2 linked regions of the Macaca fascicularis genome follow. The protein of the gene in region 1 binds, or shares a complex with, the protein of each later gene. Links are inferred from orthologs where the notes say so. Each region holds a gene or a part of one and is shown on either strand. Other genes may lie near its edges.

What was found. The genes of interacting proteins can lie anywhere in the genome.
Region 2: the proteins of MAPK8 (region 1) and DUSP16 are in contact, whole or in part, in a crystal structure (PDB 4YR8), measured with the Homo sapiens proteins. The link is inferred for Macaca fascicularis from reciprocal best matches to the Homo sapiens genes MAPK8 and DUSP16. Residues at the interface, in NP_001310257.1 of Homo sapiens: Arg189, Val196, Ile197, Leu198, Gly199, Asp229, Ile231, Trp234, Gln253, Thr255, Val256, Thr258, Tyr259, Val260, Asn262, Arg263; in NP_085143.1 of Homo sapiens: Phe215, Leu267, Asp268, Tyr271, Lys275, Pro279, Ile281, Ser282, Pro283, Asn284, Phe285, Asn286, Leu288, Gly289, Gln290, Leu292, Asp293.

What each region holds. Positions count from the first base shown.
Region 1 is NC_088383.1:57,634,967-57,638,616, forward strand, and holds part of MAPK8 (mitogen-activated protein kinase 8), read left to right. Parts: intron 1-274; coding exon 275-399; intron 400-965; coding exon 966-1,029; intron 1,030-3,650. UniProt on the Homo sapiens protein: Serine/threonine-protein kinase involved in various processes such as cell proliferation, differentiation, migration, transformation and programmed cell death.
Region 2 is NC_088385.1:15,327,257-15,331,006, forward strand, and holds the start of DUSP16 (dual specificity protein phosphatase 16), read right to left. Parts: upstream 2,609-3,750; 5' UTR 703-2,608; intron 1-702. UniProt on the Homo sapiens protein: Dual specificity protein phosphatase involved in the inactivation of MAP kinases. Dephosphorylates MAPK10 bound to ARRB2.

The DNA.
Region 1 (3,650 bases):
CCCATTTGGGGTGTGTGTGTATGTGTTCGTGTGTTTATATGTATTCATATTCTTATGGGACATAACCCAAGGTTTTCTCTGGATGGTGGGAAAAAAAATGAGGTTTTATTTTTCTTTAATTTTATATATTTTAATCATATGTATAAAATAATTTTACAGTAATATTTTTAAAACATATGCTTTTAAAATAAAAAATAATCTCAAATTGCTGAAAGTTATTAATAATTTGAGAACCTTTACAAATATATGTACATTAACATCATTATGTTTGCAGCCAGTCAGGCAAGGGATTTGTTATCCAAAATGCTGGTAATAGATGCATCTAAAAGGATCTCTGTAGATGAAGCTCTCCAACACCCGTACATCAATGTCTGGTATGATCCTTCTGAAGCAGAAGCTGTAAGTTATTTTCTTAATGTTTACAGAACATACTGCATTCTTAGAATTACAGTTAGGTTTGGAGGAGACCTTTTAATTTTAAATAAAAATGTAGATACATGATGATGATGTTTTTCTGTTTCTTCATGAAAACTACGTCAAATAAACTAATGAGCATATTTGAGCCCCTCCTACACAAAATAAAGTCACCTCCCACTGTTTTTTGCAATCTTGCCTGGATACCCTAACCAGAGAACTAGGATGTTGAATGCTCTGAGGGAACATCCTAACTCAGTTATAAAAGAAATTACTATATCCAAAGGAAAACGGAATTCTGTGATCTATGATATAAATAAAATGTGGCAATTTCAAGAGCTGGAAGAAAAGAAAAAGACAGTTAAACATTTTTTTTCCTGCAATGAAGGAGTCTTCCTATTCTGTCTATATAAGAAAGTTGATGATTGATCAGTCTTGATCTAATGATACATTTTTATAAGTCATCTGTCTGGCTAATATTTCAAATAACTACAAAGAGTTAAAATACTCCCAGCATACTGACTCAATTATTATTGCCTTGTGTTTTTCAGCCACCACCAAAGATCCCTGACAAGCAGTTAGATGAAAGGGAACACACAATAGAAGAGTGGAAAGGTACATTCATCAGATTCTTAGAGGGAAAACTGCGAAGGAGCTTCTGGTTTTTATATGGTGATTTATTGTCATGTTAGAGAAATTTGTGACATTTTCTGTGCATAACTGAAATTTGTTAATATTAATATTTTTACATAAGTGGACAGTAAGTCTGCTTCCTTCCTTAACTTCTTAAGTTCCCGTTTCCCACCCCAGACACAGACACATTAGTGCTCTCTCTCATGTTTTTCTATGGTGTGTGAACATACAAATGTGTTTAGTGTCTCCCACCTCTCTTCTTCCACCCTTTTAAAATCACATATGGTTGTGTACGATATATGCTATATGTACTTGCTTTGTTGATATAATCAGATATCTGGAAGGTTATTCTGTTTTGGTTCACATATATGCCTCTCTTGCTTTAATAACTGATTAGTGTTCTGCTGTATGAATGTGTCACACTGTATATCCATCTCCCTCTTGATGACCATTTAAATTGTGTCCAGTCTGTTGCTGTTAGAAACAACTCTGCCGTATTCATGTTCACATATGAGAACATACCTGGAAGAAAAATCCTAGAAGGAGATGTGCTGAGCCAAAGGATATTTTTCAGTTATTTCCAAATTATTCTCCAAAGAAATTGTAGTAGTGTACACTTCCATCCATATTGTATAGGAGCCTCTCTTTACCCTCACCCTTGCCAACAGAATGAGTTAATTTTTAATATTTGTAAATCTAATATAGTAGTTTTATTCTATTTTATAAATGTGGCTGAAATTAATCATGCTTTGATAGTCATGGAAGTGTTCAAAATATTTCTTCGAAAGGTCCCCTGAGACATGTGGGCCAGGTAATGTTTAGGTCCCATTTACTTCCATTTGTGTTGTTGTCCTTCAGTGTTTTGACCACTTTTGTAACTGTGTGACTTTGAGTAAATCACTCCCCCTTCCTCCCACCCTCCTACACCGCCCCCTGCATTTTACCTCATCTTAAAATAGAGGCAGAAGACCTGTTATTAAGAGTTGTCTTTAAATCCTGGGAAGCCAAAGTGGACTGGGGAGGTATAAACATGAATAAGTAACCCATCTATAAATGTGTTTTGCTAAGGATGAATTTGATTCTTTCTTAGAAATTGAAGAGATTTAGAGATTGATTTTCTGTGAACTTTGGGAAACCCATGGTTAGCAGAGCCCATGATAAAGTTAAAAAAATGACAGAACAATAAAACTGGATAGAGTCTGCTGCATTTGAATATGTAATATGCATTTGAATATGTATACAGATATAGCTCTGTACTGAATATGTATGAAAGCATTAACCTGATATTTTTACATCCTACTAATTTACAATAGACCATGAAGTATTTTATAGAATCTTGTTTTTTTGTTTTGTTTTGAGACAAGGTCTCACTGTGTCACCTAGGCTAGAGTGCAGTGGTATGATCATGGCTCACTGCAGCATCAAAACTCCTGAGCTCAAGTGATCCTGCTGCCTCAGCCTCCCCAGTAGCTGTCCACCACACTTGGCTAATTTTTTTTTTGAGACAGGGTCTCACTATGTTGCCCAGGCTGGTCTCAAACTCCTGGGCTTAAGTGATCCTCCTGCCCTGCCTCAGCCTCCCAAAGGGCTGGGATTATAAGTCTTAAGCCACTGCACCTAGCCTAATTTTTTTTTTTTTTTAATTTTTGTAGAGATGGGGTCTCACTCTGTTGTCCAGGTTGGTCATAGACTCTTAATAGGCCAGCAGTTGTAAGGCACACCATTATGTGCCACAAAGAAAAAAAAACACTGTCAGTTGTCCAGCACCATTGATTATAAGATGGAGTCAGTTTCAGAGTTTAAACTGAAAAAAAGTACATCTTAAAATCAGTGAGATACAGTGTTTTCATTTGTTTAAGAATATATTTGGGGGTTTTGATTGCTTTAAAAACATTTACCTTTATTCTGTATCTCTTACTCCTAGCCCCAGGTGCATGTCAGTAATTACCCACAGACTGCCTTTTTCAAGATCTACCTAAGAGTTTTAGCTCATAACAGAAAGAAAAATTAATTGCCAAAGCCATTAATTACAGATGGCTTTGCCTAGTTAGTACTCCTAATTAGTGTCGGTTCTTCTGCCTTAATCTCTTTGTGCTTTTTCCCAGAGGAGTGCTATTTTCTCTCTTAAAAAATCCTCATATTGCAAATGTTTATCATTCCTTTTTGTTTCTTTGAAGAAGACCATCTCTTATTCTCTCCTTTATCAGTGCTTTCTATTTTTCTCCTTCCAAGCCTTAAGTTACTATAACAAACAAACTTGTCTCCAGTTGTTGTTCATTCCAACATACTCTCTTGTTTTACCTTATTACCAATATAAATGTCATACTCTGTAATCAGGGATTCTTTGTCAGAATTTTCTTCTTCAGGAATTAACACAGACTCCTTGAAATTCGATGCAATATTTTTTGTTTGTATGTTTTTCTCAGAAGAGGGTTTTACAATTCTCAGAAGATTCCATGACCCAAAGAAGATGATAAATAGTGGTGATGATGTGGCATCCACCATTAAGATTACGTGTGGTGTGCCTTGTGAGTCTGAATGTCTACTTAAGAACCTTAAGAAGGTTTTTTGTTTGTTTGTTTTTGCTTTTTTGTTGTTGTTGG
Region 2 (3,750 bases), on another chromosome or scaffold:
CTGAATGTACATTTATAGTACTTGAACCGAGTTATTTTCAATACACTATTCACATTAACAAAATTCAAAATAAGTTCATTTCTAATTTTTCCCCCCATGTAGAATTTTGATAAATGCAAAACTTATTTTGCCTAAAATCCAACTCTTGGGCTGCTGTTATTCAGCCTAAATTTTTATATAAGACTGCAAATGTTAGCCAAATTTAAAAAAAATTTTAATGCAACTTTCCACATTGTCTTCAAACTCAGTAAATTCCACAATTTTAAAACACAAAAACCTTTCACCGTGCCTACTCACATTTTTACTAAAATCCCTACACAAAGCCATACATTCTGCTTTTCATTTTACTTCTCCAAGCTGCTGCCTTCACCAAATAGACTCCACGAGCCTCCCAAGTGGTATCCACCAATATATGTGATTCTCAAGGAAAAGTGTTAAAGAGTAATTAATTCAATTGGTACGAAATCTCTTCTTTTACAATTTTACCTTAACTTTAAAAAGCCTTTTCTTGATGGAGATGAAAATCCTTTGAGGAAACGGTTGTCCTTTACATGGACTCTCCATCAGCCCCATAAGGTGAGTGGCATAAAGAGGCATTTTCTCTGACAGTCTCAGTTCCCCAAACACTAGTCCTAAGCTTTTGCATGGATGATAAATTTCACACACAAACACCCGGAAAAGAAAGAAGAGAAAGAAACATACCTGGTTTATTTTCTAAACAGGTTTGATAGGTTTGGTTCACTTGGAAGAGCAGATTATTTACTTATAATCTTTTAAAACAGAAGTGGCAGCCAGAGCACTGGGTAAATAAAAACTTCACAGTTTTAAAACCCTGCATCTTAACTCACTTCCCTTTGGTTCAAGGGGACGGCACAGCAAACCCCACGGCAAATGAGATTATGCAACAGGCTTTTTCGTCCCCACCTTATTCATCACAGGCTGGTTAGAGGTGTGCTTTCTCCAATCTGAGACACCCACGACTTCAAAACGCCAAGAACCCTTGCAGCTGATGTTTTCTAAACTTCTTTAGGATTTTGCAGTATCCATTCATTTTCAGATCTACTTGCATTTTCTCTGGTTCATTACTGGTATTCTTTAGGAAATAAACCCAGCATCTGAAGATATTTCCCTCTGTGGTGTTCCATTACATGAAACTACACGTGATACACAGACCCTGGGCTTTTTTATTTCTCACGTTTTGCAGCTAGTGTAAATAAAGAAGTCACTAGGTATCGGGCCCCCCAACGCCAAGACCCGAGCCCCTGTCCGAAAATTGAGGGCTTTTTTGGTTGGTTGGTTGAAGAAAGCAGCACCGTCACCACCCAGGTGGCCTCGCTGATTACACCAAAGGCGAATTGGGGATAATGGGAACAGTCAGGCCGGGGCCCCACTTGGCAGGCGTGTTGTGTAACACTCGCGCCTGGAAGTGAGCAGCTTCGCCCGCGAAGGTGCCGCGTCCCGCGGCGGCCGCTCCTCTCGGCGGGGCCCGGTCCAAGCCCGCTCGCAGCGCAGCGGCCGGGAGCGCACCCACTGCGACCCCGCGTCCAGCCGCACGCCCCCTTCCCGCTCCGGCCAGCCTCCAGCCAGGCCTACACCCGCGCTTCAAACGCTCCTGCGGCCCCCGGCCGCGGTCGCCCCCACGCCGCCTCCCGAAAGGGTGGCCGGTACGCCCGGGAAGGCAGAGCCGGCGGGGCCAGAGCGCGGCTCCCCGCACCGGGAGTCGGGGCGCGCTGCGGAGCGTCCATGCGGCCGGGCGGCAAGGCGCCCCGGGCCCCGGACCCTCCCGCCCGCACACCCAGCGCGGCCCGCCAAGGCCACTTACTTTTGGGGCCGCCGACCTCCCAATTCCCTCAGAGGGAAACGAAAGTTGTCACGGCGTCTCCCCTCGGGCCCCCCTCGCCTCCCGGGCTTGCGAGGCGCCGCCGCGGAGCCGAGAGGGCGGCTGCGCTCCCGCTCGCGTCCCGTCCCGTCGCTCTCCTCCTCCTCTTCTTTTCACTATATTATCTTCTCCTTCTCTGAGGGGTGGGTGGGGGCGGGAGGCTTAGGAAGAGAGGAGACGCTCGCAACTTTTCTTCACTCTTTCTCTTCCACCCTCCCCCCCAATCAGCCTTCAAAAAAAATGTCGAAGGAGATGAAGAACTTAGGGAGGTAAAGGTGGGGGGTCGCGTTGTGAAAGCGGGGGCTGAGGGGAGGGAGAGGTGGTAATAATCGTTCAAAAACTGATTAAAGCCCCCCGAACACTGATACATAGAAAGAGGGGCAAAGGCGGGGGGGGGGGGTGGGGTGGGGGGTTGGGGGAAAGAGAAAGAGTCGCTGGTCAGGAAACTTCAAGCGCGGATGAGGTCATTGGTTTAAAAATAAAGAGATGGCGTCACTTGAAACCAATCCCAGTGAATGAACTCAGCGGAGCCCCGGGGAAAGGAGGAGACAGGCGAGGGCAGGGCGGTGGGCGCCGGGCGGGGCCGCGCGCCCGCCCATCCCGCGGCCGCCCGAGGCCGGAGCGCGGCTCCGCGCCTCGTTCCGGCCGCTCGGGGAGGGGTCAGGTCATGTTCTCTTCCCGAGTCCGGCGACTCTGAGGCAGGTTCCGCGGGCGCCGCTGGGAGGAGCCGGAGCAGCCGGAGGAGGCGGCCCCGCGGCCTCCTACCCCTCCTCCTCCTCCTCCTCCTCCTCCTCCTTCCGCGCCCGCGCGCCCGCCGCCCCCCGGGCTCGCGGCCCCGACCCCCTCCAGTGCTGCGCCCCAACAGGTATCGGAGGGTTTTCTCCTCACCCAGACCCAGAACCTTTCCCTCCTCCTTGAGTTGTTTCCAGCTGCCTCACCAACATCAAAAAACGCAAACACTGATTTGAGAGAATTACAATCGCTCGGTAAAAAGCCTGACGAATGCAAAAGGCAAGGCTCTGCCATCTCTCAGAAATTACAGGTACTTCAAGAAAAATCACACTACTGTTGTCAGGCATTCAGCTACCTATATGTTTATGGTGAAAACCCCCTCATAAATGTTCCTACATTACTTTACTTATATTTACAAATACAAGGATAGCAGCCTACATTTTCTTTAAAAATGTTTTCTACAGGACGCAGCGCTGAAACATCTTTAAATCAGACCGGGGTTCACCGCCTCTTGAGAGGTACAAAACCCTTTATTGATTTAACTCCACGTACCTCGTGTATTTTATTATTTGAATTCATTAAAGTCTCTTTGTTTTGAGATGATATTACACACTTTGGAAAACGAGAGACCTGAGGTGGTGACAAACCAGGACTTGGAATCACTGAATAGGACAATCGGAGCTTTATTCCAATGTTCTTTGAGCATTTGAGCATGAAGCTGCTTCTACTGAGAAGTACTCACGTGGATATCACATAACAAAGATGTGATTAATGACGGAAAAGCCCCCTGCGAGTGGACTGCTCCATGAGCCAGAATTTATGTGTAGGGATAATCTAACTCTTAAAATATTCCGTTTGCAATGTGCCGGATTGGGACACTGGACCCTAAAGGCACTGTTTGTTGTGGCATATCCATGTGCACCCTGCCTAAAGCACTTTTTTCCACTAGCAAAAGAACTGAGAAGCAGGTTTGGGTGGGTTAGAAAGATAATACACCCCTGTTACTACTTTTCTGCCTTTAAGTCCTGCAACTAAAGGGCATTCCTTATGATTGGTAATCATTGAAGGTTAGTGTTGCGGGGTAAGGTTCTGGGAACTTCTGGCCCATCTTTTATAGGAGGGAAAAAAGCCCATTTGAA